Linked DNA regions of Rhinolophus ferrumequinum. The protein of the gene in region 2 binds, or shares a complex with, the protein of the main gene of each other region. Links are inferred from orthologs where the notes say so. Each region holds a gene or a part of one and is shown on either strand. Other genes may lie near its edges.

Evidence for each region. Proteins that work in one complex are often made in the same cells at the same time.
Region 1: the proteins of EDNRB (region 2) and EDN1 are in contact, whole or in part, in a cryo-EM structure (PDB 8XWP), measured with the Homo sapiens proteins. The link is inferred for Rhinolophus ferrumequinum from reciprocal best matches to the Homo sapiens genes EDNRB and EDN1. Residues at the interface, in NP_000106.1 of Homo sapiens: Pro88, Pro89, Ile94, Glu95, Ile157, Asn158, Lys161, Glu165, Asp166, Trp167, Val177, Pro178, Gln181, Lys182, Val185, Phe240, Ile243, Met245, Tyr247, Leu252, Ile254, Leu256, Leu257, His258, Pro259, Lys270, Lys273, Leu277, Trp336, Leu339; in NP_001403492.1 of Homo sapiens: Cys53, Ser54, Cys55, Ser56, Ser57, Leu58, Glu62, Cys63, Val64, Tyr65, Phe66, Cys67, His68, Leu69, Asp70, Ile71, Ile72, Trp73.

Annotation. Positions count from the first base shown.
Region 1 is NC_046292.1:81,921,813-81,931,131, forward strand, and holds the start of EDN1 (endothelin-1), read right to left. Parts: upstream 4,486-9,319; 5' UTR 4,022-4,485; coding exon 3,958-4,021; intron 2,392-3,957; coding exon 2,220-2,391; intron 773-2,219; coding exon 614-772; intron 244-613; coding exon 130-243; intron 1-129. UniProt on the Homo sapiens protein: Endothelins are endothelium-derived vasoconstrictor peptides. Probable ligand for G-protein coupled receptors EDNRA and EDNRB which activates PTK2B, BCAR1, BCAR3 and, GTPases RAP1 and RHOA cascade in glomerular mesangial cells.
Region 2 is NC_046287.1:28,619,261-28,629,621, reverse strand, and holds the start of EDNRB (endothelin receptor type B), read left to right. Parts: upstream 1-6,657; 5' UTR 6,658-6,702; coding exon 6,703-7,182; intron 7,183-10,361. UniProt on the Homo sapiens protein: Non-specific receptor for endothelin 1, 2, and 3. Mediates its action by association with G proteins that activate a phosphatidylinositol-calcium second messenger system.

The DNA of each region.
Region 1 (9,319 bases), on a different chromosome or scaffold from region 2:
TTTTAGTCTATAGAATATGAAGATCCCCTTTGTCTTCTAAGCCTTTCTAACCCATCAAAGAAAGAATGACTGGGGGAGCAGAGCATTAGCACTGGTGACAGGGACTAGCTGCTCTTAGGAACCTCTTACCGTCTTATTTTTCTTCCTTCCACCAGCTGCTGATGAATGCACTTCTTTCCAAGCTGGGAACAGTCTTTTCCTTTCTTACGGTCATTCGGGCCTTTCTCCATAGTGTCTTGGTCCCTGTTGAAATACACGTAGAGAAAAACATTTCAGCAATGGTATCTTCATTTGCTCTCAATGCCTCTGTTAATCTCTCTTTGAAAAAAAAATATTAGAGTATAGTTGACGTACAATATTATTTTAGTTTCAAGTGTACAACATAGTGATTCGACATTTATACACCTTACGATGTGACCACCACAATAAGGCTAGTATCCATCTGCCACAGTGCGAGGTTCTGATGTTATTGACACATTCCCTGTGTTGTCCACTACATCCCTGTGGCTTATTTATTCTATAACTGGAAGCTTGTGCTTCTGATTTGCAGCATTATCATAGGAAGATGGTCACAAGGCCATAAAACTGTTCAAAAGCAAAGGTTTTTACTCACCTGAGTTCTTTTCCTGCTTGGCAAAAATTCCAGCACTTCTTGTCTTTTTGGCTGGCACACTGGCATCTGTTCCTGTGGTCTGTTGCTTTTGTAGGAAATAAATCCTTTAAGGATCGCTTGGACCTAGAAGGGCTTCCAAGTCCATATGGAACAATGTGCCTATTATCAAAAGAGAGGAACAAAACATATTAGCGTAATTTATAGTCAAAATGATGCATTCTGTAGGGCAAACTCATTCCATTTGGACACAAGGAGCTCACCACGTGGTGTTTGGTAGAGAAATTTAGGGGAATGAAGTATGGCACGTCAGGGTCACATGCCTGTCAAGGGCCCTGAGTGTGTCTACCCAACCAGAAGAAACCAGTTTTTTTTTAACTCAATGAAATTCCATTGAATTCCAACTCTTAACAACGTTTAATTTCTTCTCGACACAAGCTGCATTATTTTTTGTCCAAAATTATGACATCTCTGCTTTGGTATCTGTTTCATATTTTCTTCCTTGTCTAACATTCTATTTAGTTAACAACTATGGGAGGAAAGAAAAGGGGGATTTCAAAACCATTCAAAACCACGATTGACGAGATTTTGAAAACCTATTTTCAATTCAAGCCACATGATAATGCTGTACGTGCCCCTGAGGGGGCAGAAGGAGACATACTACTCCCAAGTTTGAACATCTTGGGCAATCTGGTGGTATGACTATAGAAGGACTCTGTGCCAGGATGCTCCCAGTAATTTCCAATGTGCCCGATTTGATTCTCACCTAAGAAAAAAAGTTCGCCCCTTGGGAGAATCACCTTACTAAGTATTGGGCTCATAGTGGGCTGGGTTTGGTTTGATTTGATTTTGTTCGGATTTTGGTCATCCCTCACCATACTGGGACACTGTAGGCACAATAAACATGTTTTTGTTTGTGATGCTGATGGGGGAGCTAGCTTCCAGGGTGAAGGGGGAGAAAGTGCTTTCCTCACTCTAGACGCAGGAGAGAAATCTACAGGCCATATTTCTATCATGTCTTGAAATGAGCTTTTCTAAGGGGAAAGTCCAGAGGGGTCAGAACATCCAGGTTCTAGGTCTAGCGTAGTCACCAACTCATTGTTGGGCAAGTGACTTCAACATTTTGGGTCTTAGTTTTTCTATAAGTAAAATGAGGGATTGGATTATAAATCTCTATAATTGCTTCTGCCTCGTAAGTCTCTACCATCCCCTGAGAAGTCATATGACCTCGGCACCTCAGTCCCTAAACCCAGACAGATCCCACTGAGAAAACATTCCCCCAACGCCCCACACTTAGCTTCTCCTCAGAAATGGGTGGCAGCCTCCTGCTAGCCAGCAGCTCTTTCCATCTGTCCTGTCATGTGAGATCTGAGCTACCGCTCTCAGAAGACCCTCTCCTGTGTTGCTAAGAAGCAAGTTATCCTGTTCTTTTCAGGAATGGAGGGGCACTGTCCCCACCCAATGAGGCACTTCCATGTTGTCAGAAAGGCTACCTTCAGCATCCAAACCAGGAGCTTCCCCGAAAAGGAGCTAGAGTGACTAAGGTCCATTCTCTGGTGACGCCAGAGCAAACAGATGACTAGAGTGACGATGCCCTCTAGAGACTCACTCGGGAGTGTTGACCCAGATAATGTCCAGATGGCAGAAGTAGACACACTCTTTATCCATCAAGGAAGAGCAGGAGCAGCGCTTGGAGCGGCGGCGGGGCCGCCAGGGTGCACTGGGAGACGGCTTCTCTCCTCCGCTGTCCGCCCCGGTGCTGAGCTCGGCGCCCAAGACGGCTGCGGAGAGAAAGAGCAGGTCAGCGGGGATGTCTCCTCAGAGATGCTGCATCACGTGACTGACGCCCGATCTAGCAGAGCAGGTAAAAGCGGATGAAGCGCACAACCTGCCTTCAGCAAGCCACACAGAGGAAAAGGGCTCTTTACTTGTTTCCCTGCTTAACACGGCTTCACCTCTACCCCTACTGCCTTATCCACCTTCAGAGAGATTATACAAGCGTGGGGGGAACAACCGCTTGGAAAGGGCCTCACCAGCCCCCTGAAGCAGCCTTCCAAGCGGCCGGTTAGAAATCTGGGTTGGCTTCGGCATGGAACTTAGTAAGACAGCAGAACCGTCAGTGGCTTAAAATTGGCCAATGACCACAAATCTAAAATTAAGTAAATCACACTGCATCCTCCTAGGTTGGCAGCCACCTCCCTGTGCAGCATATGCCCTTCCCGTGAGGGGAGCACCCTCTTCACGCCATGTGTAGGGCAGGGAGTAGCCCAGATAATATATACCCGATGAAATTAGGCGGAGGTCAAAAACTTTAGGGAGATCATTGGAGGGAAAGATGAGAAATCAGCTTTACAATATTCATCCCAGGAGGTCAGCTCCACAGAAACCACTGAGCTAAGGTGAAGCTGAGGAGCAGCTCGGGGACCTCGGCAAGGTTCTGTGGGTGTAGAATTCAGAAGCCCCGGCCGGCACAGCCTGGCATCTGTGGGATCACCTCCTCCCCCACCCCGCTGTAGCACAGGCAAGTTAGCCAAGCAGCTTATCTGCCCAATTTTGTACATTTCAAATGATCAGACACATTCCAGGATTTTCATTCCCTTGACATCCTTTCTCTTTAGTCAGGGTCACGAAAAGACAAAAACAGTGCATTGACCCTAGAAGGGGGACCTGGGCAGATGCACATGTCCTATCTAAATCCTTAAGCAGCCAAGATTTACCCCAGCTCCCCTCCCAGGACAGGTGAATAAAACTGTAAATAGAGCTCACACTGTTTTGGGTGCCAAAAATCTGCCAAAAGAAACCTAAAGTCAATAATGACAAATTTTTAAAGAAAACATCTGCTTCACCCTGAAACCGCCTGAGGGGGTTATTCAACAGACTGTTCTGCAGGTGATTTTACTGCTCATATATTGCTTGAATGACTTGAATAAAATTCCTTGGCTTCAAGCTGAAATGTTTAAATATTTTACACATTAACACATTATTAAAACGGTATTTGAATGAGATATACATTCTTATATGTCCTAATACCTGTATGAACACATATATTGCAAATATACATTTGGCTAAATTAATCTTGCCTTTACGTTTCTTGAGTTGCATTGTTAAAAGCCGAGGAAATACTGTATGCACTAACGACAATGTTATTTTAATGCTATAGGAGCCATTGTATTCAATAGAGGAATTTTTTCCCAGTAGAAAACTTAAGTAGCTTTGAGCGATAATTCCCAGACACTTGATATCTGAGCTGCAGTAGTAAAAGGAAGGGAAAAAAACAGAAGCAAGAAAAGCATTAAAGTGGATAAGAAGACATTAACATTCAGATATTTACAAGTCAACGTGCCTACCTGTTTCTGGAGCTCCCTGGAAAGCCACAAACAGCAGAGAGAAAATCATGGGGAAATAATCCATTCTGTAAAAGGGATCAAAATTCCTCCGCTGCAAACTAAACCCGAAGGAAAAAAAAAAAACGAAGAAAAGCAGCTTCAGTTCCCTCAAAGCGCTTCTAGTTACTCTGATCTCAAAGTGATCCTTCAGTCTAAGTGCTCCTTAATGGGGAGAAAAAGAAGTTTCTGCCAGGAGAGAAGGCAGTGGGAGCCGTCTGAAGACGCACGCGGCGGGTGGCTTGCGATGCGGGGACACCAGCGGAGACCCGAGGACCTTCGCAGCACTTGCCCCAGCGCAGATGCAGAAGCGCGTCTGGCTTGGACAGCTCTCCGCCGGCTTTTTATATTGAACCCCTATAGAGTGGGGGTAAACAGCTCCAACTTTATTCCAGCCCCAGACAATGTTATTGTGTTATTAGTCACCAACAGGCAACGTGCAGCCGGAGATAAGGCCAGGCTCTAAAGGAAATCACTGCTAACTTCAGAGGCAGACGCCCGCCGTCTGACAATTCAGGGGCAGGGCTAAGAAAAAGAAAATACCCATTGGAGACCTTTGGTAAACCTGCCCGTGCGGCGCTGGAGTCTGCTTCCCCTTTGCAAGTTGCCAGCCCCAGAGTTCAAGAATCAGAACAGGGACTCCAGAAAAGTCATACCATTGGTATGAAAAGTATGAGCTACAGTTTAAATAGATTGTATTGTGTGCGGGGATTTTTTTTTTTAATTGTTGTTCACTTCATTTTCCTTTTATGTCTCTGATTTCTCAGTGTTGATCAAACAAGAGAATGTTTCCCCTCTTCACTCTCCCCTACTCGGGGTCAAATTATTTTGGCAGATTAACGTGCTTTCCCCTTGTTCCAAGCCCCCTCCCCTAAGTTTTTTTTTTTTTTTGCTGAAGTTTTTTGCTTCCACGGTGAAAAAGATCGGTGAGAGAATGGCAAGGAAATGAAGTTTATTCAAACAGAAAAATTAGAGCCCTTTCAGGCACATACCCAATCCTTTCAGTATTACTGATTAGAACCCCCCTCCCCAAGGATTTTTCTGTGTCCACCCTCTTCCCCTGCCCAGAACGCCCCAGGTTCAACAGCACCAATCTTAAGAAATAGCGGGAGAGGAACGCCAGGGGGCGACCAAGAGCTACAGGGGCTGATGTTTTCTGAGGACAAAACGTAAAGGCCCTGGCTTCCAACCGAAGGAAATGCAACCTGAAGTGGGATCTGACAAAGGGCGAGGAATAGCTCCTAACATAAGATAGGGGGATGTCCCCTACACAGGGACATATTTTCTGGGTTTTATGCTTTGCTTTCTTCGTTTAGGACAAAGGGTGTTCTTGTATAGGGTTAGTTGAATATGCAATGAGGTGTTGGGAAGGAGAAAATGGCCATGCTGAATAAGGGGATCACCTAATACCTCACATTTACTAATGTGTTTACATTTCCAAAGCAATTTCCTGTCTATTTAACCTTGAAATATCCCCTGAGGTACCCACAGGGCAGTTACTGCGGAGGTGACAACTTGCTGTAATGTACAAAGCAAAACATAAATGTAAGACATTGGTATTTTCAGTTAGGCTCATTTTTCAAGAGACAAAACTGAAGCACCAGTTTCCATGCTCCCCCAAATTTCTCACAGTGCTCTGAGTAAGGCCTATGGAATAAGTTTAGAACATCTGCACACAAGAAAAAGATGACTCTGCATCTAGCGTGTAGGGACTCCATCAAACAGGGGCTTCCTCCACATCTTCATCTTGTTTTACCCCAACTTCCTCCCCTGTGGAAGCGGGGAGTGGGGCATATTCAAATGTAGACCCATGTCCAATACTCAAGAGGATGCCATGAACCGTGTCTTCCTCCTTCTCCTCTAGAATCGAAAGGAGAGATTTTTGTCCCAACACCAAAACTGTGGGCCTGAGCACAGTTGGGCCCCCTGGATCTCCCTAGAAGTCACCACAGTTTGGGAGACAGTAACAGTAGCAGTGTCATTTCCATAATGAGATCTGTCTCCTAAAGTGTCCCAGTGCACAAGAGCTAGAGATGGGAGCGAGGCAGGGTCCCGCCCTCCCACACTCTCATCCAGAGAGGCCTCCACCCAACCCGAGGAGCCTCTGCCTGGGCCCTCTGCTCCCTCCCTTTGCTTACCTCGCCCAGCCCTAGGTGCTGGGGAGGGCATAGCTCCCTCTAGAACTGGGTGGCACCAAGCAGGAAGTCAACTCTGGCCCCCTCAGCTCTGGCCAGTGCATCCCAACCTCTTCCCCCCCAGAAAACCACAATAACAGCAGAGGAAGCTGATGTCATATTCACAAGATCCAAGCTTTCCTCAGCAAGGGAAAGGTGGTGAGGGAATTGTGTCTTGCCAGGGCTACCCCAACACACACCTTTGACACCTTTGACAGAACACTGGCCACGGTCAGGACCAACCTGTCCTAAGCTCCTCCCTGGAAACCACCGCCCTTACCCTCCCAGTCTCCCCGGGGCCAGTCTGAACTACCCTCCAGCAAGGAAGCCAGTCTCTGCACAGCCACCCCCACCTTGGTAGGCTGCCCTTGCTGGTGCCAGCAGCACCCAACGATTAGGTAGGGAAGTGAAGCAAAATGAAACTGCCCACACGCCTTCCCACAGCCCTCCCTCCTCTCTTCTGTCTGTCTTCTTGTGAATGTATTTTAATTATAAATACAAGAAGTGGGTGGCAATGATCTGCCCTGCACCTCTCACCTAGGGCCTTCTAGGGCTCTGCTAAAGTTAATGCACAGGGTTTCAGACTTGGGAGGGTCCCATCGTTCCAAGTACAATCTTGGCCCATCCTTTTGAATCCTGAGTTTCTAAGATGCATACCGGCATGTATGTGTGTGTACTTCTACCTCTCTTCCTTTGTGTGTCATGGGAGAATGGTGGTATCTGCCTTCTCCGTCCATCGCTCCATCTTGGCCTCTTGCAGCAGCACTTTTTTCTTACTCTAGAAGGAAGGGGAAGTCCCTTTCAAGCCCAGAGAATTCAGTTATGGCACTGCCAGGCAGCTACCCAGCAAAAAAGTTTTCCAAGGAGCAAGAGGGGGAGGGAGAAAGAACCTTAACAAACCAGTTTTACAAGCTAGATGCCCCCACCTCTCCTCCACTTGAAGCATTGCTAGAGAGGGAGGTAGGAAAGGAGGAGGTTGAAAGAGCTGGACACAGTCGTGAGTGTGGAGACCCCACCTCCGTCCACAGCCCCCCACTCCGCCCCTCCAAAGTTTAGGAGGGGAAAGGCTCTTTGTCGCCACACTCCTCCTCAGAGAGGAAAGGGAAGGGAGAGAAGAGGTGAAGAAGATGGCTTCTCCCCGCCCAACAGAACAGTTTGTTGTTGCTGTTCTTGCTTTTGTTGTAACACTTGAATACTAGAAACCAGTTGATAAACGTATTTTTAATGTGTTTCTTTCTGTATCTTTTGCTGTGTATTAATAGATATCTATAAATAAAACACCCTGAGCCCCAAATACAGATACTACACAGTAGCAAAGTGTACTGTTTTTAGCACTCTTCAGCTTTGCTCTTTCTCAACTTTTGCGTAATAAGGTTTGCAACTTTGCCAAGCCAATAAATCTGGTGTGAGATGTTACATTTAGCTCAGCAAAAAGAACAGCCGTTAGGTTGCTTGACACCAGCACAAAGAATGGGGAACTAGTTTATTGCAGGCACTGGGAAGCTATCCATGCCGGGTTCATTGGTGCACTGCTGACTATTTCACGTTGCTACTTTGCATAGGGCCGTTGTGAAAGATTGTGCACTAAGACATTACTCCATGATACATTACACACCTCCACCAGCCGTGAACCACTGCAGCTTCTTCCCACAGTCCAAAATTTAATGGTTGATTTTGCACAGGAATAGGATAATGCTCAGGAGGGATTCATCCCATGCATTTTAAAAACATATACCGTATGCAACTCCACTTCCTTGACACTTTCATCCATACAACAACAGAGAGCAAGTGTTTCGTTTAAAAGAATATGCCTCAGTTTTTTAATTTAGCATTTCCCAGTCATTCATAAACCTCTTTCACAGCTTTTGCCATATTTGTGGGCCACCCATACATTTTTACTGAATACTTTTCCATCCAACTAACTGATCTAGTTCTTTATTTGAATACTTTTAAGGAACTAACTGACTTAGTTCTTTATTTGAATAATTTTAAGGAAATTTACTGTCATTACTATCCTAAGCAATAATGTACATGAAATCATGCTTTGTATGGTTAAGTAATATACATATTTATTTATATGGTTAAATGATGTACAGAAATCATAGTTTAATACATGTTAAATTAAACATAATCATTGTGTATTTATTAAGCTATTATTGGAAATAAAAACTATTCAACCATGTACCTTATAAACACAAGCATGCTTACCACTCTCAGGGAACACAGTTCTTTCCACTGCAATGTCTTATACTTATTATGTTAAGAATTAAGCTCTGGTTTAATTCTACTCTCTGACTTCTACTTTCTAAGATAAACTCAAAATATTCCACATCAAACTCTCGCAAGGATGCATGCACTTCAAAGAAACGTGAGTTCCAGGATCTGAAAACACAAAGAGTTTATATAACCCAAAAGTTCCTAGTTGGTACTTCCCCGTGGCTCTCCCTTCAATATTTTGGCTGTTGTCCTTTATGATATTTTCAACCCTCTATCCTGAATTTAAATGTCCTTTTAAGTGTTTTTACTGATATACACACACACACACACATATCTGAACCTGTAGATTGGGATAGGAGAGTGATTGTAATATGTCACACCTCAGAGAGAGACTAGAAAAATGTGATGGCAATGGATGCCTCCCCCTATTTTTATTTTTAATTTTAATTCCGTGTCATTTATGACATGTGGAGCTAAAGGGATTCTAACGCCAGGGTAGAACAGCACGTGAGGGTGAGTGGACTACGGTCAAGTCATTTCATTAAACCTGATTTACGTAAACGTTCTAGACACGTGTTTGAAAATAAACTCATTCTGGAGGGCAGGTGCCTTACAAATACGATACCTGCCTTCACGTTTTCTTAAGCAAGTTGCATGTGTGTGGCAATCCGTAGGCTGACTCTGGTTTTAAGTCGACTGCAATCAAAATCCTTTTCATGACTCCATTTAATTCTGATTGTGAATTTCTTTTCTGTTTTTCAGAGTTTCTTGTAGAATGGTGGTTACCAAGGGTTGAGGGTTGGGAGTGAGGGAAATGAGGAGATGCTGGTTAAAATTCCAGTTAGAAGATGAATAAATTCTGGGGATCTTACACACAGCATTGTCAAGAGTACTGTGTTATATACTTGAAAGTTGCTAGGAGTGCATCTTAAATG
Region 2 (10,361 bases):
GGAGGGATTGACCTTCAGGACTGATTGGTTGTGAAGACTGGCCATGACTACAGAGGAGGAGCTGCTGTGTAGGGGCTGACCTCATGGAGCAGCATTAGCTTTAGCATGGCTCTGAAGCTTACTTATTCTGCCCTTTGGGTATATCAACCTTGGAGTCAACTAGGTGGTGTTCCAGCTTGGTCCAAAGCCTACCACTGGGCATGCCAGCTCCAGGGCCTCCTGGGAGGGGCCCTAAAGCAGGCCAAGTCTAGCCTGTGCCCTGCCTGAGGCCACCTGGCATGAGCCACAAAGAAATCTGCAGATGGTCAACACTTGTGCTGTGTTTGGTGGTGCCTGGAGAAGCCAAGCTACACACAGGCTGGCTGTTGCTAGTGCCGGGCCTGGTGGCTAATAGACAAGAGGTACAAGAAATGCAAAAACCATATGCTATTTGTTTGGGTTTTGTGCACCTTTGAGAGATTTTAGTAAAGTCTGCAGCATGAGCCAAGACAGCCTGTTTGTATGGAAAAGCCACTGGAAGCAGCTTGGGTAGGCCTGAAAGTTGGGTGTGGCAGAGTCTCAGGGAATTACCGGGATCGGACTAATCAACAGTGTTAGCCAGGTTGATAGAGACTCAGACATGGCGGCTGTCTGCGTCTGCACACTGGGAGTGGGGAGGGCTCAATGAAGACACAATGGCTTCTCCGAGCTCCTCAATCCAGGAGAAAGCTGTCCCTCCAGCTCTCACTCTGAAGCCAGACAATTCAGTCCCTCCCTGTATGTCCCTGGTGCCTTTTGAGATGCTGCCCTAGTGATGGAGCTCAGAGCAAGTGAGTCCATCAGCGAGTAAGTCTGCAAGAGCCCTTAAATGGGAGGACCTGAAACTCCACCCAAACTTGTCTCACTGAGCCACAATTTCTGCTGGTTTTCACAGCCAGAAGTTATAGGACTTCTCTTACTGGCACTGAAACCCCAGGCTGGGGATTCTGGTGTGGGGCTGGGGGGACCTCCACAGCTGAGATATCCCTCCCAATTTTTAATGGTCCCACGTGAGTGTTGCATCAGCCCATTCTGGTCTCTGCCCCACCTACCAGTCCCAAGGTGGCTTTTAATGTATGTCTGTAGTTGTAGGGTTTCAGTTCAGTTAGACTTCAAGGGATTCTCAGTATGGTTGTTCTGTAGTTTAGTTGTGATTTTTGATGTGGTCATGAGAGGAGGCAAGCACAGTGTTTTAAAGTACTCTATTTTGTAATGCAAAGAACTTTTCCTTTTTTGAAAGAAATAACAACTCGCCTTTATTCAACAATAAATTGTTAAACTTTGAAGCTTCTCTTTCTAATTTCCTTTGACTATTTTACATCCCTCTGGACATACCATTAGGATATCCAAAGAATGAAAATAAGGAAAGGTGAAAATTAAAGAATATAGTTAGAGATCCATAAACTCATCATAAATTATAAACCATATGAAATAACAGCCCCCCAAATGAGTGCCTTGCATATAGTAGAATTCAAATGTGATACAAGTTTTTGCTCCTATTTACAAATGAAATTTATACAAGATGTTAACTACTGGTGAATGTACAAATAAATTTATCAGTAAGATATTTTACATGTCATAAGTTGAAAAAAACAAAGCAAAACAAAAAGCAACCTTGTATCTGTGGTAGTATTTTGTCCATGATTGAAAGGCTAAGAATAATTTACATAAATGTCAAGCATGCACTGACAGACCATGAAAGCACAGGTTGGACTGCCTGTTTAGCCTGAAAAATTTCTAATACATTTTTAAAGTTGTGCCAAAGAGTTCTTGTGAATTCTTTTAAAGAGTTTGTAGACTGGGTTACATTCTTTTTTTTTTCCCACTGATGCTGGTGTAAAAAGAAAAAAATACATCAGAGAAACAAATATAAAAATTACTTAAGCCATAACCAGGAGAGCAAACCTTTTAATTAAATCCTTTAATTAAAGTAGACCGTAGCCTACTAGTAGAAGTAGCTGAACTATACTGCTTTTCTCAGACAGGAAAAAAGGAAGTGTGATCTTCCTGTTTCTCATAATATTCAGTAAGCAAAAAAAGAATGAATTATGCCTTATTTCTAGTTACTATAAGTCTATCAAATTTTCATGACTTTAGGGGCATGGGCTAGAACGAGGCACTATCACACAACCATCAGTGAAGTTTCAGATCCTAGATTCTCTCATTTATAATCACTCCTCTGATTTATGAATCATGTTTCAGTTGCAGAAGTTGATAATAAGTACAAAAAGTTGTCAAAGCAGAAATAATGTCATAATTAAACTTTTAATAGGAATAGTGTCCAAATTCAAAATAGTCGATTTTTGCTGTTATACTTTAGAAGGATAAATGCATTTTCATAAAAGCCTCATTAAGTATGCATCACAGGGATGTACACATTTGTCAGATTTCTTAAAATTGTGTACTTATGCCCTGTCCATTTACCTATATATAAATCATACCTTAATGTAAAAAGAATTTTAAAACATCCTTAATTGTAGGTTACAAAGAGCTACAGTCAAATAAGAGAAAAATCCAAGAAATAGAAATGCTCAGGCTGTTTTCTATTGATTTGTGCAGTCATTTTAAATCTTCTTTTCTTCAACCACTATTTGATCATTGGATCCGTTCCTAGGGGAATGTGTGGAGAAGCAATTGAACCAACTCTTTCTGTGTTTTTCACATACCTTGTCCCTCAGCATTCATGATTTAGAGAATGCAAGGTAGATTTTTGAAGGGTACATTCATATCAAGGGGACTACATAAAAGTATTAGCTTTTTTGTGGTTAAAGGGGCTTTTCTTTGTTCTCTTACCAGGGAAAAAAGTTTGCTTTGGGCGAGTTCCCCATGGCAAAGCTCTTTGAGGAATGAATTCTGAAGTGCATTCAACCATTCAACCATGTCTTCAGGACCACCTTCTAGTTAAAGCATTTTAAATGGATAGTGGGACATTGTCCTTCACCACCCTTTCTGTCTTTGATGGGTGATTTTAGCCAATCTGAGATTTTGATACACTTCCTAGGAAACTTCAAAAAGTGCCTTAATGAAAGTAATTTTGTAAAAGATTCCACATGTACTAAGTAAAAAAAAAATTCTTTATAAATGCTAACTACAAAATTAATTCAAACTCAAAAGTTTTCAGTGAAGGAGCATTCACATGTGATACAAGTTTTTGCTCCTATTTACAAATGAAATTTACACAAGATGTTAACTACTGGTGAATTTATAAATAAATTTATCAATAAGGAACTTTACAAGTCATAAGGTGAAAAAAAAGCAAAACAAAAAGCAACCTTGTATCTGTGGTAGTATTGTACAGGACATGAATAGAGAAAGCAAAAAAGAAGAATCATGTTCTCACTTTTCTGCTCTTCAGGGTCAGTTAGGTTGTCTGTCAGACTGCTGTGTTAGAGCAAGAAGTAACTTTAGAGATCATCTAATCATTTCCCTCCATTTTACAAATGGGGAACCTAAGACTGAATTTCTTGTGGCTTGATTAAGGTCATTCATGAGGATCAAATAATAAATCTTTCACATGGTTACCTTTACATTTTCAGTCAATTTAAGATGAAACTTCAAATAAATATTACCGATGTCTAAAACACTGCTCTCTCAAAATAAGAAAAAACTCTGTTCAGACTCTATGTATTTAAATTAATCAAGAGTACAGTCTGTGTAACCAGATAGTCTTGGATTCAAATCCTGGCTCCAAATCATAGTCCCACAACTAACTAGCCATGTGACCTTGAGTGAATTTTTGATACTATATTCCACTACCTGTAAAACCATGAAAAACAATTTCTAACTCAAAGACTGCTGTGAGGGAGTATATGAGACCCTGTAATGAGGTGCCTAATATAGATAGTAGGCCCTATAATAGGTAGCCAATAATTGTATTTTAAATTCCAGATGAGGAATGTGTATATTTACCTTAAAATTATTTGGTTTTGCTCTTGAGCCCTACAGCTAGAGTTACTAAAATATAATTAAATAACTTAAAATATAATTATCAGATCTATAAAAAATATTTCTTTGAGCTTAACTTGTGGCCCGTATTGTGATGGTACCAAAACAACACTCAGTTTTTCAGGATTGTACCTATCGTGAAAAAGAAATTCACATGAAATCAATAGAAACCCATAAAAGTCTCTATGTGATCAAGTGCTCAAAGATGTTTAACGGTGTTACAGTGCTATGAGAAAAAGGAAGAGGTAGATCTCAGTGAAGCTTAGAATAGACATCTAGGACTGAGTGGAAGAAAGATGAATGCAAGTGGTGATGAAGATGGAAGAGTGAATGGGAGAGAAAGTGGCCCTATCTGTAGGGTTTCTATGTATGGTGGGAAGAAGGCTTGTATATGAAGTCACGTCCAAAACTGAGCAAAATATTCATACTCCAAATGAATGTATGGAGCACCCATATCATTCCTCATTCACATAACACTGTATATTGTTACTTAGATCGGCTTTGAAGCAACTGAATGTTGACCTTGTTCTTACCCAGACAGGGAGGATAAGTGCTACGCTCAAAATAGCCAGATTTGGAATTAGCACTCACAACCCTAGGCCATATTTCACATTCCTTTCGCCTTACTCCTTAACATTGTTCTTTAGACAATATTTCACACTTAAAATTCACCTTTTAAAAATACAAATTGATTTTCCACTTCCACTTTCCCAAAAAGCATAGGAGTCAAAAATTCAAGTTTGTGTCCCATCTGTGCCATGAACGAGCTGTGAAGCCAGGAGTGAGCCACCTAGTCTCTACATGAGTTGAGTTGCTACATGAAATGGTTCTTTTTGGGTCAGAAATTTCACAGACCCAACAAGTTGACTGTAAGACAGCAGTCAACGTGCATCGCACAGGTTGAATTTCTGACTTCTGTTTTATAAAATCGTTGGGAAAAACTGTCAGCCTATTGTTTCTCTCTCTCCCATAAAAATTGAGTTAAAGGGTGGATAGGAAAAAGTTATTTTATGGCTCTGCCTGATAAACATCATCCTGAATTTGTACGGCAGCTTTCTGATTATTTTCCTGTCCCCTGTAGGTATCAGGTCTCTCAACAGGATAAAAATCCCTGAGGTGGCCTGACAATAACACTTCAGGCCATAGCACGGAAAGAGTACAGCAGCTGCTAGAGATGGTGAGGGAAGGACTGTAGTCCTCTCCTAGGGCAGTGAGGGGGCTTCAGAAGAAAGGGTTAGGCTCTTCCGTTTTGGGATGGATGTGGACTGGAAATTGAAGAACAAAATAAAAACAGAGCGAAGAGCAGCGCCCCCCAAACCAACCAGGTCTTAGATATCAAGCGGGATATTTAATGGAAAGAAAAGTCACAGACATGAAAAGTCCATGTTAACACGTTTAATAGAGAACCCAAATGCGTCACCGAGTGCGTAGAAACTTGTCCTCGTGTTAATAATTCAGATCTGTGACGAAGTGCCTCCCTCATATCTGGCTGAGAAGTGACTCTCCTCTCCAGCGGGCAGCTCCTGCTGATGCCGTCCAGGCGTCTCCCAGGAAGGAAAGGTTTCCGCGCAGTCGGAAGGCGCGGGAGGAGTCTGGCGGTGATTGATAGGGAAGGGACGAATGAATATAAGTACTTATCTAGGAACAGCAGAGACTGGGAGTAAGCTGCAGGGGCTACACGGTCTGGCATTCCCTCCGCGTTTCGTCAGAGCCAGACCCGCCTGCAGCTGAAGGGAGGTGCGCTCTGCTCCCGGCGCTGGACAGACCGAGCTGTGCGAGCCCAGCACTTCCCGAGAAGGAAGTCCTCGCTGGTCGCTCCGCGCCTGGTGCGTCCCATTCGCGAGGTAAACATTCTGGCTTAGCGTTGAATTAAAATCAGTGATTGAACCTTGTCCTGGGGTTTAAGCTTGGATTACTAGTTTGGGATATCTATATCTATAGATATAGATATCCCAAATTATATGTATTCCCCCAAAATAATAGTATATAATATACATATATTACAAACACAGCGAGTTGAAGTTGCAGTAAAGGAGGGCGTTTGGAAGGGACAGAAGCTTCGGAATTAATGCTGATAGTCTTCCGAAGTCGAACGGAGTTAAGAAGCCAGATTTTCCGAGCCAGCCGGCGCACTCCTGCTGGCGCCTAGGCACCTGAGCGCAGGCAGCCGGAGAGCAGCGGCTTTCACCCACCAGGAGTCTTGGCGTTCAGAGACGCGGTATCGGAGTTCCCCGCGGAGCCAAATGCAGAAATGGGCTCATGCCCTTGGCCTCCGGATGCCTTGATTTCCCCAGTCCCCACGCGTCCTTAGCCAGAATGTACATGCTTACTCAGGGCACGTCAAGAAGCCCGAGAGTTTTGCCTTGGATACCCACCCTTTCTCCACCCCCCCCACAGCACTCCTTCCAGAGCGCCCCGCCCCACTGCGAGTTATTTACCATCAGGGGTGGGGGGGGAGGGCGGGAGGAGGACGCAGGGGAGAAAAACCACTGGGAAATCTGGTTCAGGAAGGACAGTCGACGGGCGCAGGCAGGTCGCACACGCCAGTTTCCCACTGGCGCCCAAACTAGAGTTACTTTTGCGCGCAGAGAAACGGCGCCTCTGCACTCGGCGTTAGCGGCTTGCAGGGGCGTGACTGGGATAGCTGACCCCAGTGTCCTGTCTTCCTTCCCCTGCTGGTTTTTCAGACTCTGAAAGCAGCGGAGCGGCCAGCCAACGCTCACTGGAGCAGGCAGCAGCATGCGGCTGCTGCCAAGCCTGTGCGGACGCGCCCTGGTGGCGCTGATCCTTGCCTGCAGCGTGGCGGATGTCCAGGGAGAAGAGACGGGATTCCCGCCGACTGGGGCCACTCCGCTCCTTTTGGGGACCAGAGAGATAATGACGCCCCCCACTAAGGCCTCCTGGCTGAGGGGGTCCAACGCCAGCGTGACGGGGTCGTCCGCACCGCCGCAGATGCCTGAAACAGGGAAGCCGGGGGGAACCCCTGCACGTATCCCTCCCCCGTGCCATGGATACATCGAGATCAGACAGTCTTTCAAGTATATCAACACGGTGGTGTCCTGCCTAGTGTTCGTGGTGGGGGTCATCGGAAACGCCACCCTGCTGAAGATCATTTGCAAGAACAAGAGCATGCGAAACGGCCCTAACATCTTGATCGCCAGCCTGGCCCTCGGAGACCTGCTGCACATCCTCCTGGACATCCCCGTCCATGTGTACAAGGTAAAGGGCGGCCGCTAATATCAGGATGGGGGCCCACAGGTTAGAGAGGGCGAGGGGGAGCCTTCGGAGGGACTTCGCCCCAGGAGATCCATCCCCTCCTGAAGGCCAGTACCCATCGGAACCACGTTCCCTTCTGGTCTTCAGTACCCACTGCTAAGTAAGCCTGCAACAAGTATCGTCTCCAGGCCGGTGCATCAACATCACCAGGGAATGTGTTAGAAATGACACTGTGTGGCCTCAGACCTAATCTGGGTGGGGCACTTTTTTTTTTTCCCCATTTTAAAAGCCCTTCATGTGATTATGATGAACTGTAAAGTTTGAGAATCACTAATCCTGAAGGATCTTGTTCCTAAGTGTCCAGCTCACTGAGTACATTCTCTCTCCTCTAAGGTTTGGTCCAAGGACTGGCAGTCTTGAGAGCCTGTTAGAACTCCAAGTCCACCCCAGACTTGCTAAATCAAACCTGCATCTTAAGATACCGAGGTGATTTGTACGCACCCTAACCTTGGGAAGAGTTTTCTTGAGGACCCTGAAAGTAGAGGGGCTGGAATCCATTTTTAGGAAATGGTCTAGGAGAAAGAGACCCAGACAGTTCCCCTGCTGCGAATGACTACACTGTTTTTACTTTTTATTGGATGCCCACAATGAGCCAAGCACTGGGATAGATGTGTCACTCTCCTTTACTCCTTCTCACAACGAGTAAATGTCACTTTGTGTTAGGATGTTCACGGTTTCACAATGAGTAAGAGATGGAGGTGGGAATCAGGCTAATCTGCCAGGTTCCAAAGTGCTGGCTGCACCGCGTAGATTACTTCATGGACAAGACCAAGAGAATAAAACTTAAAATCTATAAAGAATGGTTTTAGTAGCTAACATTATTGTGTGATCACAACTGGCATCAGAGGGAACAGGTGTGGACAGCAAGAGCAGGACATAAACTCCCATGTTATGTGACTCCAGGTTGCTTTGGAACTCTGGACACATCCCAACGTCTCTGGGCTTCAGTTTCCTCAGCTCTGCTAAGGCTGCTAGTGTCCACTTACTAGGGTTTTGTGGTGTTAAGAAAAATAGTGAAAGAACTGGAAGCTGTTAAAGGACTGTTGCAAATGTGTAAAACTCTGCTTCCCCATCATGAGCAACAATAAAAAATTACCTATAAAACAGAACCAAAGTGTAAGGGAACGGGAACGTGTTTCACAGATTTTCTTAAAGCTAGTCCTGGATTTGGTACAGGAAAAAAAAAAGGGGGTGGTTGTAGGGTTGGGAAAGGCTTTTAGTGTATATTTAAATCTCTGTGGCAGGAGAAGTTATAAGGAATGCTTTACATTACCCTTCATGAATCTAACCCAGATAGCAATATTTTAAGGGAAATCTAGATATTTCTGAGGTTAGGAGAAGATAGGATTTGAATTAGGATTCAGGCCCTAAAAGGAAATACTCCCATAAATGAAGGATAAATAAAAGAAATTCTAAAATCCTGCATAACAACTCGTTCTTATGAACTCTGAGGGTTACTGAGAGAAGCACAGACTGAAATGGGTCCCTTAAACGCAGTCACAGTTCCATTTTGGCCAGATGTGACCCGTTTACTTTTCAAGGAGTCACATAGATCAAGTTTTACCCCCTCAATTTCGTAGAGGAATTTCAATTCAATTCATCAAAACTGACTTGAGAACCTTTAGAGTACAAGGTTTTGTGAGAAATTTTAAAAGAAGTGAAATACTATCCCTCTCAAAAGGGAAGTTACATCTAGTTTTGCTAGGCTTGAACAGAATTTTGTGAAAGGTCTGTTTAGGGAGGTCCCAGGAAGCCCCACACTTCCAGCCCAGGTAGAGACCTTCCTAAGTCAGCCAGCACCTGAAGGAGCTGAGAAGGTATGGAAGGTGGAGCTGAGAACATTTTTCCTTTGGTATATTGATTCAGGCAAGATGTAAATCAGCCCTTCCAGGGCCATTCGACTTTCTCGATCGGGTCAAATTATTACACTCATTTAGTCAAAATATTTGACTCCCAAGGGGGAATACAGTTTTTATTTTCATTTCAAATTTCTTTATGATTTCCTAGGAAGTTACATCCTTTGCCTGAAGCCATTTAGTCTGTTAAAACTGTGTTTTTACTTCTGACATAAACAAACTAATGCGTCATTACAAATCAGGACATCTAGTCTTGTATATTGGTCATTAAAAATCCATCACAAAGAATTAGGTCCCATCTCTAGGTTGACCATCATGGGACCCTACATGGTAGCCTTTGGTTGATTTTTATAATATGCGTAAATAGGTGTCACTTGAGGCATAATGTAACAGTAATGGCGACTATTTATTATGGTACTTGATTTATTTATTAAAGCCCTGCCACAAACCTTATGGAGGAGGTATTGTTATCACCCCCCCTTATATGGGGAAACTGCATCTTGGAGAGGTGAAGAAGTAACTTGCCCAACGTCACACCCTAGAAAGTAATGAAACTAGGTTGGAACCCAGGCCATCTGGGCCTAGAACCTGTGATCCTCCCCTTCCCCCTGCACTGAGCAAGCTCAGGCACAGCACACCTTTCTCCAACCTGGAGTATTGTTAGGGCCCCATTGGAGTGTGTTGGTGGCATTAAGTGATACACTGTCACACGGTAGGATACTTGGTAAGTGTTTTCGGTTTTAATTTCAGTCATCTGAAGTCATCTTTCTATCTGCTGAAATCCCCTTCAGATGGTGGTAGTGCGTAGTATTGATAGTATTGATCACAGCGTTGTTTGTTATTCTAAAGGCTTTATTTTCCAAAACACCTAATCTAGGACTAGATAAAAGCTATTTATTCCCCTAAATAATTATGACACCATATAAGTAAGTTTCTAAAAATGCACTTATCATTTCAGAGTAATCAGGTATTATACTTCACAGAAAGTAATTTAAGTGAATTATGAATGCCATTTAAATTTATCCTAAAGTGGAAGACTTGAATCTCTAAACCAGTGATTTCTAATTTTCTTTTTGTGGGATGTTACAATTCTCTTTGAGAATCAAGTTAATTATTTGTATTGTATATAATTAGTACATTATATATAATTTATGTAACTATAATTAATATATAATACACACACTCGTGTGTGTGTATGTGCGTGTGTGTGCGTGTGTATATACATTTACAATTTCTGGGGGTTCATAGAATCCTCCAACCCATCTG